4 linked regions of the Mytilus edulis genome follow. The protein of the gene in region 2 purifies or fractionates together with the protein of the main gene of each other region. This does not show direct contact. Links are inferred from orthologs where the notes say so. Each region holds a gene or a part of one and is shown on either strand. Other genes may lie near its edges.

What was found.
Region 1: the proteins of pre-mRNA 3'-end-processing factor FIP1-like (region 2) and cleavage and polyadenylation specificity factor subunit 3-like purify together in Homo sapiens (affinity purification with mass spectrometry; 5 studies listed by BioGRID and IntAct, with this or other methods). This does not show direct contact. The link is inferred for Mytilus edulis from reciprocal best matches to the Homo sapiens genes FIP1L1 and CPSF3.
Region 3: the proteins of pre-mRNA 3'-end-processing factor FIP1-like (region 2) and prolyl 4-hydroxylase subunit alpha-2-like purify together in Homo sapiens (co-immunoprecipitation; 3 studies listed by BioGRID and IntAct, with this or other methods). This does not show direct contact. The link is inferred for Mytilus edulis from reciprocal best matches to the Homo sapiens genes FIP1L1 and P4HA2.
Region 4: the proteins of pre-mRNA 3'-end-processing factor FIP1-like (region 2) and cleavage and polyadenylation specificity factor subunit 2-like purify together in Homo sapiens (affinity purification with mass spectrometry; 7 studies listed by BioGRID and IntAct, with this or other methods). This does not show direct contact. The link is inferred for Mytilus edulis from reciprocal best matches to the Homo sapiens genes FIP1L1 and CPSF2.

Annotation. Positions count from the first base shown.
Region 1 is NC_092350.1:41,935,490-41,942,467, forward strand, and holds the start of cleavage and polyadenylation specificity factor subunit 3-like, read left to right. Parts: upstream 1-3,827; 5' UTR 3,828-3,867; coding exon 3,868-3,938; intron 3,939-4,731; coding exon 4,732-4,795; intron 4,796-5,579; coding exon 5,580-5,677; intron 5,678-6,782; coding exon 6,783-6,911; intron 6,912-6,978. UniProt on the Homo sapiens protein: Component of the cleavage and polyadenylation specificity factor (CPSF) complex that plays a key role in pre-mRNA 3'-end formation, recognizing the AAUAAA signal sequence and interacting with poly(A) polymerase and other factors to bring about cleavage and poly(A) addition.
Region 2 is NC_092351.1:28,666,992-28,674,988, forward strand, and holds the start of pre-mRNA 3'-end-processing factor FIP1-like, read right to left. Parts: upstream 3,051-7,997; 5' UTR 2,993-3,050; coding exon 2,926-2,992; intron 1,291-2,925; coding exon 1,257-1,290; intron 195-1,256; coding exon 131-194; intron 1-130. Other genes in the region: uncharacterized protein, read left to right, coding at 5,157-5,840, 7,346-7,531.
Region 3 is NC_092352.1:54,411,913-54,419,482, reverse strand, and holds the start of prolyl 4-hydroxylase subunit alpha-2-like, read right to left. Parts: upstream 3,051-7,570; 5' UTR 2,909-3,050; intron 1,536-2,908; exon of another isoform or gene 1,448-1,535; coding exon of another isoform or gene 857-1,447; exon of another isoform or gene 784-856; intron 1-783. Other genes in the region: DNA replication complex GINS protein PSF1-like, read left to right, coding at 857-1,447. UniProt on the Homo sapiens protein: Catalyzes the post-translational formation of 4-hydroxyproline in -Xaa-Pro-Gly- sequences in collagens and other proteins.
Region 4 is NC_092346.1:19,602,907-19,610,975, forward strand, and holds the start of cleavage and polyadenylation specificity factor subunit 2-like, read right to left. Parts: upstream 3,103-8,069; 5' UTR 2,987-3,102; intron 1-2,986. Other genes in the region: uncharacterized protein, read left to right, coding at 3,253-3,351, 4,773-4,832. UniProt on the Homo sapiens protein: Component of the cleavage and polyadenylation specificity factor (CPSF) complex that play a key role in pre-mRNA 3'-end formation, recognizing the AAUAAA signal sequence and interacting with poly(A) polymerase and other factors to bring about cleavage and poly(A) addition.

The sequences.
Region 1 (6,978 bases), on a different chromosome or scaffold from region 2:
GAATACTAATGATCCAGGGACTAATTATGTTTACTTAACTTTAATTTAATTTAATTAACTTATCAGAACCAACATCTGTGTTGTCTAGGATGACCAGGTCATTTCAGGTGATGACCTTGTACTGAATCTAGGATAATGACATAAAAATCACTTGTTTAAGTATCAGACCTCAATTTCCTTCCCAAAAATCACTTCTTTAAGTATCATTCTTTTAATAATCCTTACTAATTTCAACACCCCTGAACAGTGAGATTTTTATCGCGAACAGTAGAATTTTATTACATAATCTGAAAGATGAAACCTTGAACTTCACAGGAAAAATACTCCCACTGCTGGGAAAAATCTTTTAAGAAAGTATCAGTTCATTATGTAAAGCCATTATTATAGCATTTTTTCAACTAAAATAGAATTTTCAGCTAAATGATAGCATCAAAGGCAGAAACCTTTCTACTTAAAAGAAGCAAAAAGTTTTGTTTTTTTTAATTTTACTAATTAAAAGATATTATTTAAACCTATGTGTTTAAAATTTGGAAAAAAATACAAAATTCCAATTTGTGACAAAAAAACGATTTTGCTACTCAAATAAGTGATTTAAAAATCACCTATTTCAGTAAGTCCCCTGACTGTGGAAGGTACCAGAAAAGAGTACTAGTACTGTGAAGTGCCTAATTACAGATCCTAACAGAGATGACCACTTTCATGTTTTGCAAATATTGACAGTCAAAATTCGCCAAAAAAGAAGGGTGCAGATGGCGCCCAAGAAGAGTCATATGTGTAAGTTTGCTCTGTTAGCAACTGATCTACTACTGCTCAGATAAGTGGGTGCTTTTTTCAATTAAATCACAGTTAGTGGCAAAAAGTAAAGAACTTTGGTCTTGTGGCAAGACAACCAGTTAAAATGATAATCAGCAAAATCATGGCCACAGAGTCCTTTCACCACCAAACACCACTGTATACCGCTGAACACCCCAAAAAAACAACACTGACCACAGTGATACTATACAATAAAACGATAAAATAAATTAAATAGCATATTATTAAATCAATTTTTAGATTTTTATGTGCATCATTGTTATGTCAAAGTCGATAATCAATAAATCAATATAGAGTTAATTGTCCCCAGATTCATCCCTTTATCCAGATTACATTGTGTGTGTATATGTATATATATATTAAACATTTCAAATAAAATTCAAACATATTCGTAATAAGTAATCAGTTCAAGTATCCTTGATTTCTCTTCATCAGTCATGTCAGTTAGATTTTGATATATATATATATATGATAAATGTCTCTTCTTAAAAGAGGGGCAAAAGATACCACAGGCCTCTACAATAACTTTTTTTTTCAACTACCAAAACTTACTTGTCCGAATGAAATTGTTACTTGTCCAATTTTTTTTTTTACTGTAAAATAATCTTTTTACATCTTCAGTTGATTAAAGGAACAAAACGAATTGAAACAATAGAACAGAATTTGATGGGTTTTTTTTAAAATAATTTTCAAAAATATGAGTCAAGTACAACTGAATCAATTCATGTCACAGGACTTAGGTTATAGTTCTCATCAATGCTAGTCTCATCAGACTCTGCACATGAGGCACCATCTGATAGGCCTGTACACTCATTTGACATTTGTATCCTATATTTTTCTAAGTAGAAAAAAGTGTATTCAAATACAATCAATAAAAAGAAGATAAGGTCTGACTGCCAATGAGAAAACTCTCAGCAAGAGACCAAATGACACAGAAATTTACAACTATAGGTCACTATATTGCAAGTATTGTTTTTTTTCTACTTATGATCAAATATGATTTTGTTAATTTTATGGTAAATAAAAAAAATATTTTTGTAAAAAAATGTTCATCAAAGTTGAATAATTAAAACTTTTTTTCTGCAAAATAATTGAACCTGTCCCGACGGACAAGCTTGATACAGCTTTTACTTGTCCGACCTTTTTTCCCTCTGGTATCGGACAAGCGTTATTGTCGAGGCCTGTACCAGAGGCACAATCAAACTCAGAAATCGAAAATAAACTGACACAATGACGGACAACTCCATGGCTAAAAAAGAAAAAGACAAACAGACAAATAATAGTACAAGATAGTATTAATATTCATGATATAGGTACAAATATTTTAAAGATGAAAAAAAACAAGAAAAAAAAACATATTTGAGGTGTCCAGTGACTGTGTTTGATGTAGATATTTGGTCTGTTAATCTTATTATTTGTTGAATTTATAACTTAAATATTATATTTAGGTCACATTTATAACGATAAAAGATAACTAAAAAAAATGGGGGTTTTCGCTGGTGTTCCACTGTGTGTGGTGGTGTTTGGTGGTGAAAAGACCTAGAAAGGGTGCCTACTAATTGCTGTTGTGTGCCCAACTTTTCGTCTTTTGAAAACATCCCATGGAACTCAGAGACTCAGCAGTTGATATGCTGGACTGAGGGATTTCTTGAGTTACGTAGAATTAAATTCTTTGGATGGGTTGTTCTCTCCCCAGATGTGGAGATGTTGTGAAAGCTAATATATGAACAACCAAACAAACATCAGTGTCCACCTGTCCACAGAAAAAGTATATTTCCTGAGAATGATCTTCATTTACTATTTTTGATTTTCACTTATTGTTTTTACATATCACAATGAAAATAATAAATAAATCAATCATGTCAATAGAAAAAGAAAACACAGTTAAAAGGAAATGAAGATCACGAAATATATGCTTCATAAATACAGAATAATTCTGTCTAGCAGTAATGAATCACTATATATAATAGCACTAAACCATCTGACTAGACTATTGAACTGTCAGACCATTGAATCATTTGACTATTTGACCGTCAGATTACCACTATGGCTAGTCAAAATAATTATGACGACTTGAAAGGCTTTTTAACCCTCTTGCTGCCAACCGTTTTTCAAGGTTGCATTTCATATGCAAGAGAATACGACAGCTACGTCTGTGACCTAACATGCCAAACAACGTCATTCGATATATGACGTCACGACATAATGACCGTTACATTTGGGACCAATTGGAGAAAATCATGACACTGTTTAATCTTCGGTTTTTTAATTCCAAGAGATACAGCATTGATTGAGAAACTTGCATAAATTTTACCATGGACATATGTGTCCCTCCGGCAGCAAGAGGGATTTGTGGCGCCTTCCTAACTATAAATTATTTAGACTACACAACAGCCCCTACAATGGATCTGTAGCCGAGTATGCTAAATTTTTTCTGCGGCTTTGATGGAGAAACATTTGTTTGCCACAATTTCTTTTCATTCAGTTTTTTAGTTTTACCAAGGTTACATGTATTTATGTTCGTGCCTCAGCTGTAACCAGGCCAGGATAATTGTTTTTCAAAATCCTCCGAATACCTCTTCCCAAGAAAATCAAATGGTAATCCCCTAAGAAGACTAGAGATATGAAAATTTATGAACAAGATAATAATTTGTATTTGACCCAAATACTTAATCCTAAGATATATAGATCCTTACTATTAATCCCCTAAGAAGACTAGAGATATAAAATGAACAAGATTGTATTTGACCCAAATACTTAATCCTAAGATATGATCAGATATATAGATCCTTACTATAATTTTCGGCATATTTTTTCATCATGGGCGCAGACATCTTGAATTTTACAAATGCAGATTTTTAAAAGAAACGAAACTATTTAAAAATGAGGTATTATTAAACAAAACAAATAAATTAAATAGATATTTCATATAAAAATATATGAATTTGCAATGAAATAAAGTTATTTTTGTGTTATTTTATGAAAATGTATGACATTTTACAGTATTTATGTAAGTTCTGTTTGTCATATTAAGAAGTAACAATCAGAAAAAAAATGGCTTCTAATGAAACAACAGAGGGCCAAGTTCCTATAGAAGAAAGTGATCAGTTGATAATAAAACCATTGTTAGCATATATTTTCACTCATAAATAATAACTATAGATTCTTAGCTTGTTCGTCCTTTCATATAAAGTATTATTAACTGTGCCTACACACACACAAACAAAAAACCAATCAAACATTGTGATTTTTTTTTTTTACAAATATCACTTTCTACCTACCATGAATACATGTATATGGTCAGATCATATGGTTTCGTACGTCAAACGAATTTGTACTATGCATGTTTTTTTAATGGAAATTGTGACGTCACAATGCATTCTTAATAGCATGAAAACCCATGAGACAAGACTATCGTTAATTAGATTTATATAATTTTGCGAAATAGGGCGCCCAAATTAAATAATTACAACATAACTGTGTCATTATATCAAAGGTACCGATGATGGCTTTAACTTGTGTGGAAAGAAAGCACCTACTGACATCGTTGAACTTGAAGAACTGTTGGTTCCAATAGACGTACCTTTATATCACAATCTGGATATCTACACAGCTTGACCAAGGAATCTTTGCTTTTAATTTATGCAAATAATAGGACTGCTTGAGTACCGCATGCCTAAAAAAGAACTCTAAATTTGATATCTGATACATACATGACATACATCTTTATGCAGATTTTTCTCGAAATCGCAAAAATTAGTCTCACATTTTTGTCCATTCTTCTAAAAATGCAATGATAAAACATGGATAATGCCCGCAAAAATTTCTGAATTTATAGTAGTCATGCTGGTTTAGAATTATCTCTATTTAAAATTTATTATATATCATATTTCTCTCATTGATTAATATTTATTTCAGAGGTTCTGGTCAAGAAGTAGGTAGATCATGTCACATACTGGAATTCAAAGGAAAGAAAATTATGGTAAATATTCAGTAACAGGTGTTAACTTTCCAGAACCTAGTTTTTTCTTGGGACATTTGAGTGATCAAATCTTTCACTATCATGACTATTTAGGGAAAAGAAATCACAATTTATACACCTTTCATAATAATCATGATAATGTGACCATAAAAAGTTGTATGTCATTTAAAAATGTAATAATTTCTTAAGCAAGTAAGATCAAATATCAAAATCACATTTGTGTGCTTAAGCAAATATTAGTTGGTTGCAATTGACATGGGTTAATCAATTTAACAAGAGTGTGACGAAATACAGAAAAATCTTCATCATGGTAATACACATAGATGACCTTATCATGCTTATCCGGTTGATCCAAGAAAGTAAACAACACCTTTGATTAATTCACTTTTTTGTAAATGTACATTTTAATTACATTAAAGGTGCATAAAATACCTCAGCTAGCTCAGAGAAAGAGATTAAATCAGTTTCAAGTAGGAGTCATGAAATATGTTCCAAAACAGGCAGATTTTTTGGTTTGCATATTTATCAAATATATATCACCTTGTGAATAAAATCTCAGTATATTTGGAGAATATTACGGTACCTAAAAGAAAACTCTTCAAAGGACTCAATTTCAAACACATCTGTTTTACTATTTAAATTATGACTAACCACAAACTAAATTTTTCAATTTACAGAAGTTAACTCTCCATGCAACCAACATGTACAATTGGCAATTAAAATGAAGTTTATGATTGTAAGAGTACATTTATATTGTTAAAACGCCATTTTTTCTGTATTGTAGTTGGACTGTGGCATTCACCCAGGACTTCATGGAGTTGCTTCCCTTCCATACCTAGATTGTGTAGATGTTGAAGACATAGATCTGTTGCTGATCAGTCAGTGAGTGTTAAATTGAAAGCAAAAAATTTAAATACATTTTAAAAAATTTCATTTATCTTGCAGTGATTATAGTTTGGCAGTGCCGTACAGGAATAAAATTGAGAATGGAAATGGGGAATGTGCCAAAGAGACAACAACCTGACCATAGCGCAGACAACAGCAGAAGGTCACCAACAGGTCTTCAATGCAACGAGAAATTCTCGCACCCGGAGCCATCCTTCAGCTGGCCCCTAAACAAATATATTCTGGTTCAGTGATAATGAACAAATTGTACACAAGAAACTAAAAGTTAAAATAATACAAGACTAACAAAGGCCAGAAGCTCCTGACTTGGGACAGGCACAAAAATGCGGCGGGGTTAAACATGTTTGTGAGATCTCAACCCTCCCCCTATACCTCTAGCCAATGCAGAAAAGTAAACGCATAACAATACGTACATTAAAATTCAGCTCAAGAGAAGTCCAAGTCTGATGTCAGAAGATGTAACCAAAGAAAATAAACAAAATGACAATAATACATACGGTAAATAACATCAGACTGCTAGCAGTTAACTGACATGCCAGCTGCGGACTTCAATTAAAATGATTGAAAAATTATGTCTTCATCATATGAATATCTGGCACAATCCTCCCCGTGAGGTGTTTAGTATCATACCATCACAATAATCGAATGAAACATGGTTGAACTAAAACAGATAAGATAGAGAATAGGGAATGTGTCAAAGAAACAACACCCTGACCAAAGAGCAAAAAACAGCTGAAGGCCACCAATGGGTCTTCAACACAACTAGAAAATACCACACCAAAAACCTGCTTCAGCTGGCCCCTAAACAAAGATGTGTACTAGTTCAGTGATATTGGAGGCCATACTAAACTCCAAAACATATAATTGAACTAAAATCAAGACTTAACAAAGGCCAGGGGCTCCTGACTTGGGACAAGTGCAAAAATGTTGCAGAGCCTGGGTTATACATGTTTTGTGAGATCTCAACTCTATACTTCTGGCAAATGTGGAATAAAACAGATCTGTTAAGTATATTAGTTTCTATAGCGAGATTTAGTTTTTGTTTAGTACTATATAGTTCTATGTTCTTTATATTTTACAGCTTTCATTTAGATCATTGTGGAGCATTGCCATATTTCTTAGAGAAAACAGCATTCAAAGGACGGTGTTTCATGACCCATGCAACAAAAGCTATTTATAGATGGCTTTTGTCAGATTACGTCAAAGTCAGGTACATTAATATAGCAGTCCAACTGATTTTAATGTCACCCTTATCAGTGACACTTACATTAAGAAAG
Region 2 (7,997 bases):
TGTTGCCAACTAGTTTATTCTTAACTGTGTATTGATATGGTTTCATATACATGGAATTTCTTTTTTGTACACATGCACAAATCATTTTGGAAGCAAAAGTCTTCCATCCTTAATATATTTGATACCTTACCAATTCTCCAGCTTCTCTGTCATCCTTTCTGTCAGATCTACTGTGTTTAGGTGGGTCAGCAGCCCTGTTATATTAAATATAACACTTTTTTTTTTTTAAATACTTTACTAGCATGTGACTAGTGCATTTCAAAAATGGAGTGCCAGAGAACAGTAGGATGATATATATACATTTTGTACAATGTAGAATGTTTGCAAAGGTAGAAATGAAAAAATAATATTAATAGAGAACTGCAGAGATTTCAAGATATTTCAGATATATGTGTAATTATTTTATATGCATCGCGCTGTAAATTATTCATGTTATTCAACTAAAAGGTCCGAGACCACAATTATTTCGTAGTGCATTTCTTTTAGAACATAAATGAAAATTTAAAAAAAAACCACCTGCGCTTTCTCAAGCTCAAAATATGGACAATTTTATGTTTAGAACGTCTTGAAATCTTTCAACAGCTTCCGAAGTGCTAATTTTTAACCTTTTTCAGCTGGACCAAATCACTACTTTCCTTAAAAATTTGAGACCCAAATTTTTTTACAGTGTAATTTCACCCCCCTTCTTGCAATTTGAGGCATTACACATGGAGAAATAAATTTGGAAGGGGTATAAAAATTAATGGCAAGTAACCCACTGTCAGCACTAGGGACTATATTTGTGAACAACGAAAATCAAGGGACGACAATTGTGGTCTCAGACCAAAACTGACTCAATATACTGAGGAAGATAAGAAACTTTCATTTCCTTAGATATTAATTGAAGGGGCTTAATACATGTAAGCTACGTTTTTGTCAAAAAAATAAAATATGAAAGAAGAATTGTGAAATAATATTTTGCTTAATAGCAGTAAGTTTAATTCAATTTTGTCAAAATAAGTTCAATTGACAAGAAAACAGTATGTATAATATGACAAATTACTTAATAAAATGTACATGCAATATCATAAATATTTAGCACTTCCCTTTCAATCAATCTAAGAATTTGTAGGTTATTCTTCTATGAGTTGTTTTATTGGTATCTTACCAATGTTCAATCTTATTATATTTCACTGTACAAACATGTTCTTTAAAGAGATACATCAGTATTTTATAATGTTTATTTCATATACAGATATATAGGCCATATAGCTTACCCACTAGCTTTTTCTTGCGACTCTTTATTATCATCTAAAACAAAACAAAATTTTTTTAATTACGAATGTATGAATGGAGGTGTTGATTTTTCGCTCCTAAGATAAGTCATCTTATTTTTTTTTGTATTATATGCGAATGATAAATGTATAACATTTATGAAAGGGTTTAAGCATTGTAGGCCCGTCATCATCAGGGATTTACCTACATGTATATCAATTTATTTTAATTTTGTCGTTGTCAATAGATCTACAATACTTATATGCATTTTATAAGCTATTATTGGTTTGCTTGAAAATATTTCGTTGCAAACTGCATCCTGTTTTAGTAGGTCCCAATGTTTACTAATGCATTGTTTTAATTTATGAATGCACTTTTTTTTGGATTGATGTAAACCAATAGACCACTTTCGAGTTCATCCGTCACCGGCAAAAACTCGTCAATTATACACGCCTTTATGACGTCATTTACCAGATAGAGGGGCTCGCCTGTATCCCTGCACTATTTACGTTCATCAAGCGTCTTAGTGATCGTCTTTGTGCAGGATAAACTAGAAATAATGGTTGCTCTGTAGGTACTTACTGACATTTCCTTAATGACAGCAGTGTTGATTGTCAATTTTGAGAATTCATATTTGCCAAATAATTCGTACAATATAGAATTATAGTTTTCCAACCACTCGCTCAACATTGGAAGGAAGTGACGACGCCCCTAAACGCACAAATGACGATGATAAAGGCGCGTATAATTGACGAGTTTTTTCCGGTGACGGATGAACTCGAAAGTGGTCTATTGCAAGTCTAGTAATACTAGCATCATGTGATCAATATTTTGTAATATAATTACAATAAAATACTTATAGTATGTATACGGAGTCTTCGGAACTAGATTGTTTGCTATCGGAAATCGGATTGATGTTGGAATACGTGGATGTTAGGTGTCACTTTAATACAGTCTTCCGAATAAGATTGTTTGCTATTGGAATTCGGATTGATGTTGGAATACGTGGATGTTAGGTGTCACTTTTATACAAAGCATGTGTAATGTCCAGTACTGGCGGACAAATAGTGATAAGGTACATTTGAAAATAAAACATTCAACCACAGGGGCTTGTTTAGTGGGTCAGACAAGGTTTTACTGTCAATGGCGATCGCTATCCTATATAAAATAGCTGTCACTTTAATACAGAGTCTTCCGAATAAGATTGTTTGCTATCGGAATTCGGATTGATGTTGGAATACGTGGATGTTAGGTGTCACTTTTATACAAAGCATGTGTAATGTCCAGTACTGGCGGACAAAAACAAGGTATTTTATATAGGATAGCGATCGCCGTTGACAGTAAAACCTCGTCTGACCCACTAAACAAGCCCCTATGATTCAACCATGTTTTTAGAAACCACTACTGGCACTGGTCCACATAATCATGACGTCTGATCGATGAGGGAATTTACGATATGAATTTTACAGATCATTTAATGAAGTTGTCAAGGTAAATACTAAAAATAATAGAATGCTATATTAAATGGAGTACCAAGTTTTGTCTATAAAAATCCGAGTGACAAACGTAGACTTCTATTTCTAGCAACAGCAATTGTTCATTAAAAAACAACCTGAAGCAAAGCTAACATATTCATCAAGTAATGCCTTTATTTATAATCGAATACTTTACCCCCATAAAGCCATTCTTCGTCGTCTTGTGTGCCGGTTTGTGGTGCAGCTACACCGGCAGCCGCCATCGTGTTTACAATTTTACTTCTTTCAGTTTCGAATTATTTATATCGAACTGTTAAAACGGGTCAAATTATTTTCAGATATAATATTTATATCCAATGCATAATCCATGTATCATCTTATGATAGAATAGTGTAAAAACTACGAAACTCGATGTATGTAATTTATCTGAATACCGAAAATAAAATAAAGGTCCATAAAATTACAGGTATGAATATTTCTCTCAGATAAATATTTGATGTCCCCTGTCTCAGAATATCCCCTGATAGTGGGTTTATAACGAACATTTTGATGGCTTGCGGATAAAATGATCAAAATTAACTTTTCTTTCATAAAAAAGGCAAAATGTTAGATATCAGTCTCAGATAACAAAGATCAGCTTTCAACACAGGCTCAGAAGTTTTTCTATATATACCTCTACATTGTATATAGGATTTTTTTTGGAGACAAGTGCCTGTGGCTTTCAAGCAAGTCCTGGCAAATTATATAAACTGTAAAATTGATTGAAATCTCTTGGAGTCCGAACTAGTCCAATTAATAATTTTTGACGTCTAAAAACGGTCTATTTTTATTATTTAGACTAAAGTCTGTATTATTGCAAATACTGTTTGAAAATATGTTGCGCATTTCTAGTTCCTGCAAGTTGTGCTGTACATCATGACTTCATGTACATGAATGCATCTCCTTCATATGATTTTCCTATTAAAAGCAAGCTGTGAAGCCATATACGCTCGGTATTGGGGTATTGTTTATGGTCCTATTGATATTTAAGGGTCACTATTTCAATCGTATTCAATTTTTAGAATGGTTTAAGAGTTTATCAATTCAATCAACTGTTTGATCTCTATGTCAAAGGTTGACCACTATTGAGTTGATCAATTAATAAATTTGTTTTAGTTTTTTTCAAGGATCGTGATTGTATCAATCATATTCAATTGTTAAGATTGGGAAATATGAGACAACATCCCGACCAAAGAGCAGATAACAGCTCAGGGCCACCAATGGGTCTTCAACCACACCCGATGATGGGCCTTAGCTGGCCCCTAAATAAAATTGTGTACTAGTTCAGTGAAAATGGACATCAATGCTACACTCCAAAACATATAAATGAACTAAAATTAAAAAACATACAAGACTAACAAAGGCCAAAGGCTCCTGTCTAGGGACAGGTGCAAAAATATGTTGGGGTTAAACATGCTTTGTGAGATCTCAATTCTCAACCCTCCCCCTATACCATGTATACCTCTAGCCAATGTAAAATATTAAGGAAACACACAGCAATACGCACAGTAAAACTCAGCTTAAAAGACTTCTGGAGTCCAATGTCAGAATAGGTAACAAAAGAAACTAAGCAAAATGACAATTAATGATACATAAATTAACAAAAGACTACTAGCAGTTAGTGACATGCCAGCTCCAGACCTCATTGAAACTGATTGAAAGATTATGTCTTCATCATATGGAAATCAAGCACAATCCTTCTAAATAGGGGTTTAGTATCACAACAAAATAAAATATATGAGAAGAACATAACCTGTATCATGCCAACAATTGGTTTTAGAATAAATGTGTTTATTTCCGATGCAACAGCCCTATGAGTCAATCAATATTAATTCCAAAATATGCAATCCTTAATGACCTGACAACAGTATTTTTACTGAGTTTATTGAGTTGATATATATGTTCATCAATCATGTCAATGCAGACTGTCAGGGTTTGCACTTTTATCATAATGATCAATGGCTTGCAATTTTCCAACTTGATAAGTCTGCCCATATAGATTGTACCCTACTATTTCAATCTCCTCCTTTAAAATAAACATTTAAAATATGAAAATTGTATGAAGTTTTACACAAAATTCTATACGTTGTAAAAAAATAATTTAATCTGCCTTTTTTATTCAACTCTTTCATTAAAAATTTCAAAATATTGCAAAGATAGACTTTAGACCAAAGTTTAATCTTTTCCTACCTTCTGGTTAGGTCATCTGATCTTGTTTTTCTATTCGTTATGTTTTATTGTATAAATGTAATATATAAATCCATATTTTCATTTTTTAAACAGTGTATATATATACAAAATATTGAAATACTTTGTTCTTCTTTTATACAGGATTGAATGCCATATCCATGATGACACTGTAGTCTGTAGACAGGGAAAAACAGCAACATGAAACTTGTTAAATCACCAATAGCTGTGATGACTTTCTGCAGATTCAGACTTCTTTCATTATCACCAATAACCCATTACAATCATATGACAAACTTAGCCAGATTTTCAAAGATTCATTGCTCAACACAAACATCAAGAACATACACATGTGTTACAATTGGCAATTTAAGTAGCAATCTCTTTGAAAGTTGCCATGTGAAGAAATGTGGTAGAATTGAAGATAAACAATATTTTCATCAATGTGGTCCAAATCTAAATAAAAAGTTCCCTAAAAAGGTAAAAATTCATGATAACAAAAAGGGACAATCATCTGATGAATCTAATAATGTGAAACGTGTAAAGTTGGTGAAATTGATTGACACTATTCAGTTGTTTTCTAATGAAGATCTGTTAATTGGAAAGCAAACATTAGCAGGGGCTAAGGAATATGCCAACAGTAAAGGGTTCAAATTAGCTAAATTAGAGGGAAAATTTACAGAAGGATTCCCATCTTATAAACTTGTGACAAAAGAAGAACAAAAGGAAGAACAGAAGAAGACACCGAAGGAAAAGAGCCCAAAACGCTTTGACATTGAAACAAAAATTGCCGGCCATGATCTCCAGATTAAAATCAATCAAATGGTTAAAATACTTGTAAAAGGAAGAAAAGTCAATACTGTTCTATCAGCTGCTAAAAATGAGGTGAGTTGGCTTTATTGTTTTAACGTTTTGATATATAAAACTTATTGAAAATTTCAAATAGGGATATGTATTAAGACACAACCTTGAGAATGTTAGCCCAATGTACATGTGGTGTATTTAATTTACACCATGATATTATGGTTAATGTAAAGTGATAAAATTTCAAGATTTAGAGGTTCTTTCAGCAATTTGACCTTATTTTATGGTATGATAAATGCAAGACATCCATGCAAATAAATTTAATACTGCATCATGATATTACTACATATATTATATATATATATATATTGTCTAAATGTAAAATTATCTCCCCTTTCAAGAAATTTGTTAATTTTTTAACCATTGACTGAAGTGGTTAACATGAGCACATGAATTACTGAACAACATGCTTGTGTGAATAAAACATGTTAAATGAGACTAAAAGTCCAATGTCTTTATCATGCTGTAAATGTGGATAAAAAGAGATGCAAGGTATATTGTAATGATAGTGTATTTATTGAGATAACAACCAAAATAATTAAGCAAAGGATGTCTAGCCATCTGCTTTCAGTCTTCATCAATAGAAAGGACTGGTGTTAAATTGCCTTGAGCATCTTAATGTACATCCCCTTTAAAAAAAATACTTATCTTAATTTGTTTGTTGTATATCATGTATTTGACACTATGAGTCTTTTCTATACATGGCAAAGAAGTCTTGATTGATTTCCACCTCATGTATCATGTGTATTTTAGTAAATTTTGGTTGAACAGGCACTTGTCTTATTATGAACTTCAGGTTATGTGATACTTATTTGAAAAGGTTATAGACATGTACCAAAAAATGAAGCATTGAAAATTCATTAAGTATACCTGCTCTAATTGAAATCTCCTTCTGCCAAAGAGTTTTCCTTATACTGTAATGGCTGGAAATATGACTGAAAAAATGACTAAACATTGAAGTATTAAAATAATTATTCATGTTATTTACACAAACTGACTTAAATTTAATATTGTCTAATGTCATGAATATATAAGGAATGAATTTTCTGTCCATCTTTCCCTTTAAACAAACAAACAATTTGGGCACTTTATGCTCCCCTAGTTCATTAAGTTGTTCTTTCAAAAAAATAACTGTCATGACTGTTGTGTTTACTGTCTTATTTTGATTTTTTAACTGCATCCTAGTAAGGTTAAGAATGAATTTTCTTTCTGTTTTGGTTGCTTCTTTTTTGATTAAATTATGACCCATGGTCAAATGTTTGTAAATACATGCAATTAAGATTCAACATCCCTGAACTTTTTTAATAGTGCCTGCAGACATTGGTTTGAATTTAGATTTGTTTTGTATTTTTTTAAATGTGACTGTGTTTTGTGATCAGTTCTAATGAAACTGATTATAATTGAAACTATTTTACTGGTACATGTTGTTTTTTTATAATTTTGACAAAAGTGTTATTTCTTGAGAATTGATAATTAGAACTAAAGTCATGTAGAGCTATTTTCACAAGTTTTATTTCTTCTTGCAGCAAAACAAGGGACTACTTGGATCAGTTCACAAAGAGATAACAGAAGGACTTGACTCAGTAGGTTACATTAAGGATTCCAAATTCAATATTGATAAAGGCTACATAAACTCAGTATATGTACCTCGAGAAAATAAAGTGAAAACAGCTGATGGAACTTCAGAAGATGATGGGGACAAAAAAGAATAAATTTTTTGATTACTAGAATGCAACTCAGGATGTTTTTTTGTTTTTTATTGAATCAATTAAAGTGATTTTAGAACTTGATCTGGGGTATTCCTGGTGGTGACACATATAGTGTCAGTATGAAAATGAAATTACTGGTGTGCCTTGAAGAATATGTTGGCTTTGAAATAAATATTATTACACAGACCTGTATTTCATGTTTCTCTGAATTGTAGTTTTCAATCATCATTTCATAATACACATTTTTCACACAAAAAGAATAAGCAAACATAACACTTGATTGATTTAAACTGTTCCATATTAAAATTATTTCAAAGACAATAGAGACAGGGAATGTATCAAAGAGACAACAACCATACAATAGAGCAGAAAATTTGTAAGGGTTCCCTGGAACCCAGTGTCAAGCCTACTTTTGCTATTAATTGCAGACTCAACAAAAATGAGGAAAAAAATCATTAAAAATATTTCT
Region 3 (7,570 bases), on a different chromosome or scaffold from region 2:
ATGGTGTCAAATAAGCTAATTCACAAAGAAATAAAGTTGCAAGAAAGTCTTGTCAATGGCGCACTTTATGGACATGGAGACTTTGAGCTAAGCTCCTCAGTAAGCCATTTTCAATGCACAAAAGCTCTATGGCAGATTAAATCGGAGAAAGAAAAGGCTTTTGCATTGCAAAAATTCTTGACTCATGGGTCTGGAAACACGCTTAAATAATAAAGATGGCAAAGCGTGGCTGAGAGTTCTACAAATAAAGCATCGAATTGACATAACAAGAGTACACTTAGAGCATAGTATTAAGCAAATGAATCAAAATATTATATTCCGTTATGCCCGCTCCATATATATATCTCCATTCGTTTATTCATACTTTGACTTTGATGAAAACAGATACATACATTATCTTATACATATTCTTCATATTTAAAAATAAAAAAAAAAGAACCTCAATCTCTTTCTTTTTCACAAATGTTAAATTTCTTCATCTACCAATATACTAATATAAACTTCACAATCTCTTTCTTCCTCACAAATTTATGTTTCATTTCTTCGTCTATCTATATAATAAAACATTTTAATTAGACATATCTGCTCGTATATTTTAAAAAAAACATTAAATACAAATTTCTTTATATCTAATAAAAAAAAAATATGTTTTCTTGTCGCTAAATAGTCTTCTTGTCGCTTGTTGTCGCTAAAATAATTCTTGTTGTCGCTTCTTGTCGCTTGTCGACGCTTGTTGTCGCTTCTTGACGCTTGTTGTCGCTAATTAGTGAGACCCGATAATAAAATGTTCCGAGGGGAGTTATAAATGGCGGGAATTTAAGTTGATAAACAGTCACATACATTGAACATCGTAGAAATGTTAGCCGAAAAAGCTTTAGAGCTCATTGCTGAGTTACAACGAACAATTGATAGCACACTTGGTCCATATAATGAAGATACAGCCAGACACGTGTTAGAGGAGATGAAAGCTTTGTTTGAACAAAACCAGAAGGATGTCAGCGCCACAGTTGCTGGAGAAAATGGTTTGTTTTCAGGAGTACAACTTCGGCATGCTGCTTTGGAAAGGAATAAAAGGTGTCTTTTAGCATATATTTATAACAGATTACAACACATTAAGAAGATGAGATGGGAGTTTGGAAGTGTACTGCCTTCGGATGTCAAATTGAACCTAGGTGAACAGGAAGTTCAGTGGTTTGGAAAATATAACAAATTGCTAGCAAACTATATGAGGTCTATAGGAGACCACGGGGGACTTGATCTCACACAAGATCTTAAACCACCAAAAACTTTATTCATTGAAGTCAGGTGTTTGATGGATCACGGTGAATTTGAAACTCAAGATGGTAACATTGTATTGTTGAAGAAAAATAGCCAGCATTTTCTATTGAGATCTGAATGTGAACATTTAATTAGACAAGGAGTTTTGGAACATATTGTCCATGGTTAAACACTGTTGAATCAAGTTTATTTAATGTGCAATAAGCCAAAAGCAAGTGTGTAACTTTTATCAAATAAAATCAATAGACAATACCAGACAGTATTTGGATTAATTCTATTTCATTTAATGTAGGTCACCTGGCCCAATGGGTGAACTGATTAATATTGCCCTTATTGTTAGTTATTTTCACAGCTACATGTACATGTATGTCACAGAAACTCGGTTAACTATTAATTTTTTCCAAGGAATATGTCTGTTGATGGGTAAATCGGCTAATGCAACAACAGTATTAAATTCAGGGTTTTAACTTGACTATTGAATGATGAGAGCTATTGAATAATATTCCACAACATTAATACATGCACATGTTTATCAAACTTAACTGAATGTCGAGCAAATATCAATCATCAAATATGTATCAAGCTCAAATTGCCCAAAGTCTGTTAACATGTAGTGAAGTCTTTGGAAGGTCTGTCATAAAAAGTTGAGTCTCCAGAGTCCAAGTCATGCAAATAGCAAAACATATTGTTATGCGTTTACTTTTCTACATTGGCTAGAGGTATAGGGGGAGGGTTGAGATCTCACAAACATGTTTAACCCCGCCGCATTTTTGCGCCTGTCCCAAGTCAGGAGCCTCTGGTCTTTGTTAGTCTTGTATTATTTTAATTTTAGTTTCTTGTGTACAATTTGGAAATTAGTATGGGCCGGCCAGGCCATTCATTAGAAGGCGGTACCCGGTACTTTTACCCTCCTATGCTATTGACAAGTACCGCCTAAATGTAGGAATTTTTATATAAGATATTCAGGGAATAAATTGAAAAGTACCACCTAGAAACATGGAAAGTACCAGTCAACATGAAAGATAATGAAACCCCTTTATGGCGTTCATTATCACTGATCTAGTATATATTTGTTTAGGGGCCAGCTGAAGGACTCCTCCGGGTGCGGGAATTTTTCGCTACATTGAAGACCTGTTGGTGATCTTCTGCTGTTGTGTTTTTTTCTATGGTCGGGTTGTTGTCTCTTTGGCACATTCCCCTTTTCCATTCTCAATTTTATGAATTGAAAACAACACGAGTTTGATCAAATATGTGTACGACTTCTATGAACAATCAAAACCAGCTGAAGGACGCTTCCGGGTGCGGGAATTTCTCGCTACATTGAAGACCTGTTGGTGATCTTCTGCTGTTGTTTTTTTCTATGGTCGGATTGTTGTCTCTTTGGCACATTCCCCATTTCCATTCTCAATTTTATATTTAAATACAAAAAAGACAGCCAGCTACAAATGGGGCTCCCAACTGGGGACAGATACTTAGTGGCATAAACTATTTGTATACAGCTCTATATTTTTGAGGTAGAAGACCTGGATGCTTCACTATATGTAACTTTTTTTAATGTGACATACATGTACTCATAATTATGAGTAATACAATATGTAGTAGAAATATATTTGGTATATTGGATCCTTGCAATGTCTTCATGTCTGTTAGACAAATCACTTGACCTTGACATCATTTCATGGATCAGTGATCAAGGTTAAGTTTTCATCGTAAAGTCAATATCGGACAATGTAACCATTAGGTTGACTATATTTGGTGTATGGAATGATTGTAAGGTGCACATGTCAGATTGAAAGATTTTCTCTGACCTTGAACATTCATAATAACAGTTCATTGGATACTAGTAATGTTAAGTTTTGTGGTTTGGTTTATTTCACAAATACTTTAAACAACATGAACAATGGGACCACGATTTTTGCTGTAAATTGAAGGATTGTGGTATGATCATATGTGTCTGGCATGTTTCTTATGACCTTGAAATTATTTTCATGGTTCATTGAATAATGTTAAGTTTTTGTGGTTTTGTCTGTTTCTCAGATACTATAAGCAATACTACAGCTGATTTTGGTTTCTGTCTGGCAGGTTTAATCTGACTGAACTTTTTTATGATTCATTTTATGTTTAGTTTTTGTTATTTGGTCTATATCTCATATATATACAAATACAAATGTACAATAAGTAATAGGTCCACTATATTTGCTGTATGGAAAGAAGTAAAATAACAAAAGTACCGAACTTATACCATGTAACTATGGAATGATTGCATATGTCTATCTGCCATTTTCTAATGACCTCATTTACATGGTTTGTTGGTCAATGATAATTAGCTTCCATGGTTTGTGTGTATCAGATAGTTTAAGCAAAAGGTACTAAAACTGCATGACATTGTTTAGATCCTATTCAGTCAATTTCAATAAATTTATAAATGATATGTTATACTTGGCTATTAAGTTTACAAAATGATGTACATTTGAATAACCATGATACTTGACACTATTATAAATGGGCATGGTGAATGAACTTTCGACTACAAATGTACAATTTTTGTGAACAAAGGAAGATAACTCCAATTGAAAATATATGATTTGTCTAAATGCCATACAATATTTAATTTTATGTTCACATTTTAAAGTGAAAGCCTTTTGATTTATTATTATGTAAATAAGCATAATTTACAGAGACATTTTAGTATGTGTACTCTTGTTTTAAATCTCCACTTATGACGTATCTTTAATTTGGTGTATTGATGACAATGTATGCACTGAATATATATGAGGTTTGCTGAGATCTAGAGTAAGGCTTCAGTTTTGGGGTTAAATATATTAGCAGGCAATCAAAGTCCAATAGCTACTGGCTGATTAACTCTATATAAACCTCTTCTTTACCTGTACTTTTGAGTGCACACAACACGGTGCCGTGAGGCGTACATTGATTGTATCCTATCATGGTATTTGAGAAATTTATTAAACAGATACTCAGATATCCAATTTACAAAATGATGTGTATATTACCATATGTGACAAACAGATTTCGTTTTTTGAATTATACAAGTTTCAGATAGTCATTCAATGCTGTATACATTTACTGGGTTTTCAAAAATTTTATGGTCAAAGGGAAATAACTCAATTCAAAGCTTGCAGAATGCAAACATTGTATTCATGCATTTGTAAATATGTTTGTTCATGCATTATATCTTATTTGTTATATTGTTGTACTATCATGCCTCATGTGAGGCCTTTAGTGAAATAAAATGTTTCAATGTATAAACTTCAAATTGAAATCATGGTCAAACTCGTCAGAAGAGTCCTTATTGGTGTTATTGCCAAATAAAAAGTGACACTTTTTTAATCATTTTTGGGAGTTATATCAGTGATATTGTTGGCTTTTTTCAAAACTACCTCTACCCTTTTTTATTGGAAAAATGTGCATCATTTGTATCAAATTGGGAAATTTATAATTAACCATGAATTTGACTGGAACTTCAATTTGCAGATCCCCTTTCAAGAGGTAAACCCTCATTTGAAATAAGAGCCCTTATTGTCAGTGATGATACATAAATAGACCCTCAAATCTGTACATATAGTCATTTTTAGACATTAAAAATGTTTAAATGAGTGTTTTTCAGTTTGAATTCAATCGCAATTAATACTTGACTGCACTGTTTCGGAAAAAAGTTGTCTTTTTGGGAATAATTTTAAGCCATTTTTTAGCTCACCTGGCCGAAAGGCCAAGTGAGCTTTTCTCATCACTTGGCGTCCGTCGTCCGTCTTCGTCCGTCGTCGTCCTGCGTTAACTTTTACAAAAATCTTCTCCTCTGAAACTACTGGGCCAAATTTGACCAAACATGGCCACAATCATCATTGGGGTATCTAGTTTAAAAAATGTGTCCAGTGACCCGCCCAACCAACCAAGATGGCCGCCATGGCTAAAAATAGAACATAGGGGTAAAATGCAGTTTTTGGCTTTTAACTCAAAAACCAAAGCATTTAGAGCGAATTTGACACTGGGTAATATTGTTCATCAGGTCAAGATCTATCTGCCCTGAAATTTTCAGATGAATCAGACATTTCCTTGTTGGGTTGCTGCCCCTGAAATGGTAATTTTAAGGAAATTTTGCTGTTTTTGGTTATTATCTTGAATATTATTATAGATAGAGATAAACTGTAAACAGCAATAATGTTCAGCAAAGTAAGATCTACAAATAAGTCAACATGACCAAAATGGTCAGTTGACCACTTTAGGAGTTATTGCCCTTTATAGTCAATTTTTAACCATTTTTCGTAAATCTTAGTAATCTTTTAGAAAAATCTTCTCCTCTAAAACTACTGGGCCAAATTTAACCAAACTTGGCCATAATCATCATTGGGGTATCTAGTTAAAAAATTGTGTCCGATGACCCGCCCAACCAACCAAGATGGCCGCCATGGCTAAAAATAGAACATAGGTGTAAAATGCAGTTTTTGGCTTATAACTCAAAAACCAAAGCATTTAGAGCAAATCTGACATGGGGATAAAATTGTACATCAGGTGAAGATCTATCTGCCCTGAAATTTTCAGATGAATCGGACATTCCGTTGTTGGGTTGCTGCCCCTGAAATTGGAATTTTAAGGAAATTTTGCTGTTTTTGGTTATTATCTTGAATATTATTATAGATAGAGATAAACTGTAAACAGCAATAATGTTCAGTAAAGTAAGATCTACAAATAAGTCAACATGACCAAAATGGTCAGTTGACCACTTTAGGAGTTATTGCCCTTTATAGTCAATTTTTAACCTTTTTTCGTAAATCTTAGTAATCTTTTAGAAAAATCTTCTCCTCTGAAACTACTGGGCCAAATTTAACCAAACTTAGCCATAATCATCATTGGGGTATTTAGTTAAAAAAATGTGTCCGGTAACTAGGCCAACAAACCAAGATGGCCGCCATGGCTAAAAATAGAACATGGGGGTAAAATGCAGTTTTTGGCTTATAACTCAAAAACCAAAGCATTAAGAGCAAATTTGACAGGAAGTAAAATTGTTGATCAGGTCACGATCTATCTGCCCTGGAATTTTCAGATGAATCGGATAACTAAGGAGTTATTGCCCTTCATAGTCAATTTTTAACAATTTTCTTAAAATTTGAAGATTTTCCACAGAAAGTACTGTTATAGATAGAGATAATTGTAAGCAGCAAGAATGTTTAGTAAAGTAAGATCTAGAAACACATCACCATCACCAAAACACAATTTTGTCATGAATCCATCTGTGTCCATTGTTTAATATTCACATAGACCAAGGTGAGCGACACAGGCTCTTTAGAGCCTCTAGTTTTTCAAATTGGGATTCTTCTCCAGGAGAAAACGCCTTTATTCTCCAGTAATTTAATGCAAACAATATCACTGTATATAGTCTATATTTTTGAAAACAATAAATTATAGGATGAAACTTTGGAGGGGAAACAATAATCTTCAAATAGGTTTGCCAAAAACATTGGTCCACTCACACTAGGAGTTGTTGACCTTACATGACAATACATTCAACTAGTTTGTGTGTTCATCTATTATCTTGATTATCTTGATTACTCCAATATATAGAAAAAATTGACAGCAGGACCAATCTGACTAAAATATTGATCTCTGATTTCGTTATACTACATCAGAGATCCATATTTTAATTAAATTGATAGCAGGACAAGATAACCATATCTTGGTCAAAATTAATGGCCGAAATTGTCAGTTTACTATTTATAGAAGTTATTCCTTTTAATGATGATTTTACCCATTTTTGCATTTTTAGAGAAGCTTTGGTGGATAAAGAAATAACCCAACAGGTCTTAACAGCACAGAATATCTGTAGAAATATCATAGCTTAAATGTTCAGTCAACACCAAAGACCGTACGGTTTCCTAAAATTGACTTCATCCTCTTTATTCGAACTTTGATGGGCAGTTGTTTCTTTGGCAATCATACATCTCCTGTTTTCTTTATATTTATGTAAAAGAACTTTTAAAATTCACAATATTATTGTTTGTATGTCTGACTGGGAATCCTTTGCATGTATGACAAAAAAAGACCTTTATTCTCAGTTAAATTTACCGGCATACCATCAAACTATGCACAGGAAATAAACAAATTAATTATTAAACTAGTTGTTGGCATGATACGATTTATGTTCTTCTCGTATAGTTTATGATGGTATGATACTTAAACCTTAACGGGATGGATTGTGCTTGATTTCCATATTTATAATGAATACATAATTTTGCAAGCAGGCAGTCCTTTGTTTATTTATGTTATCATTGTCATTTTG
Region 4 (8,069 bases), on a different chromosome or scaffold from region 2:
AGAGCCAATAGAATACAGTACTTAGTCTGTACATATGTAAATGTCATAACCAAATGACACAACTGACACAGTCACACCATTTCTTTTCAAAATATCACAAACGTGTTTTAGTCTTTTTTTTTAAATTTAATTTCAATTCAATTATTTTTGCATCACTGATATATCAGCCTTCTCTTACTTTAAGGGTCCCTATACCTAGAGTAAAGGTACCAGTTAATTCCTGGTTATGGTATGGTTAGAGGATATTTAATTTAAGGTTAGGGTTAGCTTTTAGGGTTAGGGCTAGTTTTGGGTTTACGGTATGGGTTAGGGTAAGGTTAGGGGTTAAGAATAGTTTAGTACATATAGCTCTTTATGGGTTGTCTAACATTTTGTCTAAAGTAAAAGAAGGCTGATATATCAAAAAGAGAATAAGAGAATATCACCAAGTGCTTTGGATAGTAAAAAGCAAATTTAAACAAGTTATTTCTAGAGTATATTTGTGTTCATATAATACTAAAATAATTCTACTGTCCCAAAGTGCCTTAAACTATAACTTTTAGTACCTATGGAACTTCCATTTTGTGACAACTGTACATTAATATAAACATATTTATCGTTTGAAAAAGACACACAGATCAGACACATTAATTGCTCTTCTAATATGACGTGCTTCTTTTGCTTTGTGAATAAACCCATGCTCTAATAAAATTTGTTTGCACATGGTCATGCGTATATTGACTACTGCAGAATAATGATTTTTATCAAATTGGCATGCATTTAATATAATTCATTAACTTAAAACAACTCTGAACTCTTAAATGATGCACATGTTGTTACTAATTCATTTATTATGACTGTAATTTGCAAATGGAAATTGACATATTTGAGCAAGATACGACAGCCATTCATGCTGGCTGTTCAAACTCCTCCCTCTGAAAATTCACATTGCCAGTCGTTTGCTTTTTTACAAACAAAAAAGGGAGGTTCAACTTCATGGAAGAGATATATACACAAACACTGTACACTTATATACATCGGATATAGATAATACCTTCATTGTCCTAATCAGAATCGAAATAATTGATGCAAGCAATACTTTATTGTAGTTTTAACATGGGTAGGTATTATATTCGTGTTATTTTATTTCCCCCATTTTTTCGTTATAATTATGAAATCTTCAGGTGACTGGCATTATGTTCGTTATTTTAGCCCTTACTATTGCTCGGGGAAATATAATCATGAATATAATGCCTACCCATTTTAAAACTACAATAAAGAATAGCTTGCAATGCATCAATTATTTCTTAAATTTGCTGTGGCATATTTTCCTGTTATTTTAGCCATTACTATATATGGCTTGGGGAAATATAATCACGAATATATAATGCCTACCCATTTTAATAAAATTGAGAAAGGAAATGGTGAATATGTCAAAGCGACAACCACCCGACCATAGAGCAAACAACAGCCGAAGGTAACCAATGGGTCTTCAATGTAGCGAGAATTCCCGCACCCGTAGGTGTCCTTCAGCTGGCCCCTAAAATATGCATAATAGTACAGTGATAATGGACGTCATACTAAACTCCGAATTATACACAAGAAACTAAAATTTAAAATCATACAAGACTAACAAAGGCCAGAGGCTCCTGACTTGGGACAGGCGCAAAATTGCGGCGGGGTTAAACATGTTTATGAGATCTCAACCCTCCCCCTATACCTCTAGCCAATGTAGAAAAGTAAAAGAATAACAATACGCACATTAAAATTCAGTTCAAGAGAAGTCCGAGTCTGATGTCAAAAGATGTAACAAAAGAAAATAAATAAAATGACAATAATACATAAATAACAACAGACTACTAGCAGTTAACTGACATGCCAGCTCCAGACCTCAATTAAACTGATTGAAAGATTATGTCTTCATCATATGAATATCAGGTACAATCCCTCCCGTTAGGGGTTTAGTATCATACTATCATAAAATATATGAGAAGAACATAACCCGTGTCATGCCAACAACTGTTTTTTTTTTAAGAAATAAATGTGTTTAGTTCCGATGCTACAACTACAATAAAACTACAATAAAGAATAGCTTGCAATGCATCAATTATTTCTTAAATTTGCTGTGGCATATGTTCCTGTTATTTTAGCCCTTACTATCGCTCGGGGAAATATAATCACGAATATAATGCCTACCCATTTTAAAACTACAATAAAGAATAGCTTGCAATGCATCAATAATTTCTTAAATTTGCTGTGCTTGGTACCAATATTTATGTTTTGCATGATAACAGATGTGCTTACTGTTTTCTCATTAGATCTTGTGCTTACCGTATATGTATGTAGGATAAAAGTGTTTTATCATGCATTCATGCTTATTGTTTATAATTAATACTTTTTTTTTTAAATTATACCCAATTTTTACAAGCAAGATGCCAAAATATTTGAAAATGACTTTAAATAGGAGCCGAATTGACATTTGCCGACTAGTACTACGCCAGAATCTGAGGTGCTGTTAGTCTGAATAACAATGTTGATGTAAGGCGTCAAAGAAAGAAAAAATATTAGCCTTTCAAGACGTCATAATTATATGGACTACCTGGCGGAGTTCACTTGAAACTCTCGAGTTAACAATACGATTTTACTTGAATCACTCGAGTTAACCCCTCGTACTCTAGTTCCAACCCTCACCGAGCCAGGGTTAAACTCGAGAAACTCTTGAATGACGTCAAACCAATGAGAATATTTTATTTTTTATGCTTGGTCAGGGCATTACCCTAGAGTGACTTAGAGTTGTTCCGAATATCAACTCTAGTGCGTTCACGTGATAATCTATTAACTCTGAAGTTGATTGTAGAGTTTCAAGTGAACTCGGCCCCTATGTCAGTGTATGTTGACTTGTTGTCTGGTTTGTGCCGGTTAGTTGATTAGCTTTTATGGGACCATTGTGTATATCTAGTATTGTGTGGATGAAACTAGTACTGTTTATTACAATAATTGATTTCACCTCATCTAATTCTAGCTTTGAAACAATTGCAAAGTGAATAGAAAACACTTTGTTTAGGCGGCCAAGAGCTCACGTTGGTTTGGATTTACACCGGATGTAAACTTTACATTAAAAAGGGAGCTAACTTCAGTTAAGTCATTTCCGGTTGAACTTTGTTACTGATGCAGAACTTATGATCACTTGTATGAAGTAATTTTTAGATGGATATGAAAGTTTCTTTTCATAATCTGGTTTTAATTTGGCGTCTTCAAATATGAAAGTGATGAATGATGTATCTATTCTTAGTCTCAGCTTTTGCAATACTAACTTGTGTAGTTTTGATTCTCTTTCTGAAGTTTTCATCTGATAAACAACATCAGCAACAAGTGAGTTTCTGTAAAAAATAAATAAGTTATGACAATTGTGACGTTTGGATAGTTTTAAATCAAATTCATTGTCATGCCAGTTCTATACTATAGGTATGATTAAGACTGATCAGTTAGAGATGTTTTGAAAGTATTGAGGCAGCTTTATCTGTTTATCTTGTTTATTTTTCCATTGATTGTTTTTGTGTCATACATCATTTACATGTACATGATGTAAGAGGTTCTGGTAAGGGGTTAATAGAAAATGAGCCCTCAGCTAAATAAATCTATAGAGAGAAATGGTCATAAATAATAAACATAATAAAGAGTTATGGTGTCTAAAATCATAAATTGAAAAAAAATGAAAATAACTGACTGAAGAATAAAAAAAAACTATAAACTATGAAAGAAAAACAGAAATGAGGAACCTCCCTAATCTCATATAACTTTATACCAGGCTTGTGGTAATTGTAATCATTAATCACCCAAGAATCTGATTACATTTTGATTACATTCTCATAATCATTGCAATGAAAGCAATCTAAAATTGTGTGTATGGGCAATATGAACCTTTTTCATATTCAAATTTGATGAATAATACTTTTTAAATTAGTTTTGTTCAATTCCAGCATGTTAAATAATACATTTTAAATCACTTTTGTTTGATTATTTAATTCCAGCATGTTTCAATCTTCCAAGTGGGTTATTATGAAATTCATTGTAATCGGACGTAAACAATATATTACTTAAAATTAAGTCAGTTATTTACCAAAATGGTATAATCATTCATTTAATTTAAGCATACAATTGCAATTTGATCAACTCGTGTATATATATTGAAAGTTACTGAACCCTTCTCTTCAAACTACATTAAGGTATTTTTTCACGAATTTACTTTATACATGTACATGTACATGTATGTAACAGTCGATTCAGTTTCTTAATAAATTGGCCCTTGGTCATATTAAAGTTTAAACAGTAAATTTGATTTAGATAATAAATCCTTAAATTGATGCATGTGTAATTAGAAATTATTTCTTAATGTTTTGCAAAAATTTCAATATAAAACATGACCTTAAACCTTAAAGATGTTGTTATTTTTTTAAGCAATAACAATTGAATCAAATAAAAAAATCTCTATCTCTCTCTCTACTTCATGTCTATTAATGTATCATTTATCCAATGGATTATCACAATTATCCAGCTGCAGGAAACAGTGGTCATTTGACAAAATGTTTCAGCTGAACCAATGAAGAACAGATAAAATTGACCATAGGTTTATAAAAATAAAAAACATCAATCAGTTACATGTGATAATACAGGAAATTGTAATACATGTATACTCTTAGTGAGCCAATTTAGTGGGATATGAAACATTTTTTAAATGTATATGAATAGAAGAGATAATGAAAAATAAATGCATATATTTTTTTCTTTAATAGCAGTCCAATGAGATCAAGATAGATGCAGTAACCTTTTTAAGATCAGTGAGAAGTACTAAGGTATGTCAACATTTCATATTATGTAAATTCATTTTTTGTTTTGCTTTTTGCCCCACTTCAATGGATGGATATACTAATCTTTTCTGTTCTGTGTCCCATTTTTAATCCTGTATCATGTTAACTAAGCTAATATAAAGTTGTGGTCATATCCTCTTGAAACATAAAAATAAGAAGATGTGATACGATTGCCAATGAGACAACTCTGCACAAGAGACCGAATGACACTGAAGTCAACTATATATATATATATAAGTACGTCTGAGTCAGTGACAACTCTACAACAGATGTATCCATCGAATCGCCATCAATGATGGTGATACATGGCTGTGTACATAATGTATATACAACTCGTCTAAACATCAACCCAACAATGTTAGATCTGTAAATTTGCTTTCGCAAATTTTTGATTCTTCCCTCGCCGGGATTCGAACCCATGCTACTGTGATATTGTGACACCAAATCGCCTATATATATATATAAAAAGAAGATGTGGTATAATTGCAAATGAGACAAAATCTCCACAAGAGGCCAAATGACACAGAAGTTAACAACTATACATACTTGTTCTTTATTATGTAAACTTTTTAAGGCTTAGGACAGAATGTGGTGATGTTTAACCTTGGGCAGTAGATAGTTTTAAAGCACAACATCAGAACCAAACAGAAAAAATAGAAATTTACCTTGAAGTTGTGGTCACACATTTATGTTCATGAAAATTAATTAATACCTTTGCTCATTAGGCCAAATACATATAAAAAAAAAAGTAAGGTTAGGGGGTAGGGATATTTTTTTACATTCAGCAAAAACATTCAACATTTTGACTTTAACAGTGCTTAATGAAAAATGACCAAAAAATTTAAGGGTGGGCTATTATTGAGGGGTTTGATGGGGCAGTCTCATCACAATTCACTAGTTGATTTTTTTGTCTATCACAATTTGCAGAAAATAAATTTCCATGATCAAGGATCACGAAAATATAAAAAATAACGGATCACAATAGCGAAAATGCACCGATCAAGAAGAACGAAAATAACCCATCAGGCCCCTCATTATTAAAACAAAAACATAGGGGTCGCTTATCAAAGTTTGCCCACTTATTAAATGTTATAAAACTTCTAAACAATGCTTATTCATACCACAATATTCAGATCAAGTACAATATTTCTGGTATGTTAAGTAGAGTAACTGGAATCACACATGGCCTTACATGTATGATGTGCATATTTTAACAAAATAATCTGGCAAATGAGGGTTTTGAGCCAGATTTCATCAGTTCCCTGAATACAGAAATGTGATAGTGAGTGCAGGATATATATGGTGTCTAATGGAAATATATTGTTGTTTTCTTCTTTGCTGTTGTTTAATCATGTTAAATGCAATGAAGCTATCTTTTGCATTCTCCAAAAATGTATTTCTTAGTTGTTCTCTCTTTATGTTTGTATTGAAAAGTGTTTACATATTTTAGAGATTTCTTAAAGTATTTATAATCTAATTTATATTAAGGGGATGATGAGTGACTTTTTCTATCACAATACAATTGTCTAATATTGTACTACAGAATGTACATGTAATATGATGTATGCTCCTTTTTAACCCAAACATCTTCTATAAATTAATGAATAAAATTGAGAATGGAAATGGGGAATGTGTCAAAGCGACAACAACCCAACCAATGGATCTTCAATGTAGCGAAAAATTGCTGCACTTGGAGGCGTTCTTTAGCTGGCCCCTAAACAAATATGTACATTGTATACTAGTTAAGTGATAATGGACATTATACTAAACTCTGAAGTTGTATTTACAACACACAAATAACCCAAAACATCAATGTTTTGTGGTTTTAAACAATGTATTTGTTTAGTGGACTTGTGTTTTTAGGTTTCTTGCTTTCATGTTTTTCTTATACATGTACCATATGTAACAATATAACTGATTCACTGTGGACATGCATTTCTTATGTATTCTTTCAACAAGTGCAAAGGAATGAAAACTCAATTGTCCAATTATTAAATGGATTATAACAGACAAGAAGTAGATTCAAATTCAATATTTTATTATAGTCTCACCACATACAAACATAAAATGAGATTCACATAAATAGACTTAAAACATTAAAAAATTTACAATGTATGTGCCAATCTTAAAAAAGATTTATGAGAGTCTTTAAAGACCCAATATATACATATAGTATACACACATTTTTACACATTTATAAGTAACTGTATACCATGTGAAAACCTTAAATTACATGTTATATTTTTATTATACCATTGTATTATTTTGATGCTAGGAGGAGCTATCCTCCTTGGCTTTTTTTTTTTACATACTTGATTTGCACAAGATTTTTTCAATGAAAAATAATCGTGATAATCATCAGGTTTAAAGTATTAATGCATTGTGAAAACAAATTTTTCATCAATAAAATTCCAGTCAGATGTTCTCATGAATATCCTTTTTATATTAGTTACATTTTTTTTTAAGTCTGATGAAGTTTTATCCTAGGTAATACATTTCAACTGAGGCACTATACAGGGGTCCAAAGGCGTCATTATGGAGTAAAGGGGGTGGCGTCAAAAGGCGTCATTATGGAGGAAAGGGTTAATGACAAATTTACCTGTTGATAATATGTAACTATGCATAGATTAGTTTAATTAAACTGCCTATCAAAAAAGTAAACCACATGAAGCATGCCTCAGGCTTAAATGTTGCAGTTTAAAGGAGATTTGTGTTTATAATAAATGAAGCAAGAAAATAATCAATTGACTATGAAAGTGCTGGTATTTTTTTGGTCAGTTTTCACAATTAATCATAAATGCAAATTTTATCAAACAAAAATTGTGCCTTTTAATTACATCAGTGTTGTTATTAATTTGTATAAACTATATGTGCGATGGATATATTTTTAAGCATTTCAATTTCCATGTGATATCAAGATAAGGGAAATATCTCATATTGGAAAATGTCCATGTCTGTATACATAATACTCAAGGAAATTAAAATATTCTTTTGATATATATGTAAGAAGCATCTAAACTACACAAATTGAAAAATCCAAAAAATCATAAACTCTCCTACTAGCCACAAATGTTTAAACCCATAATAAAAGCAGTTTAAATAGTATATATTTTCCAAGGATAACTGTATGTTTGGTATTGTTTACATGTTTACAACTATAATTTGTGCAAGTTTATGTATTAGGTTGTATGGTTGTGATTTATTGCTATGTATTCAGTTTAT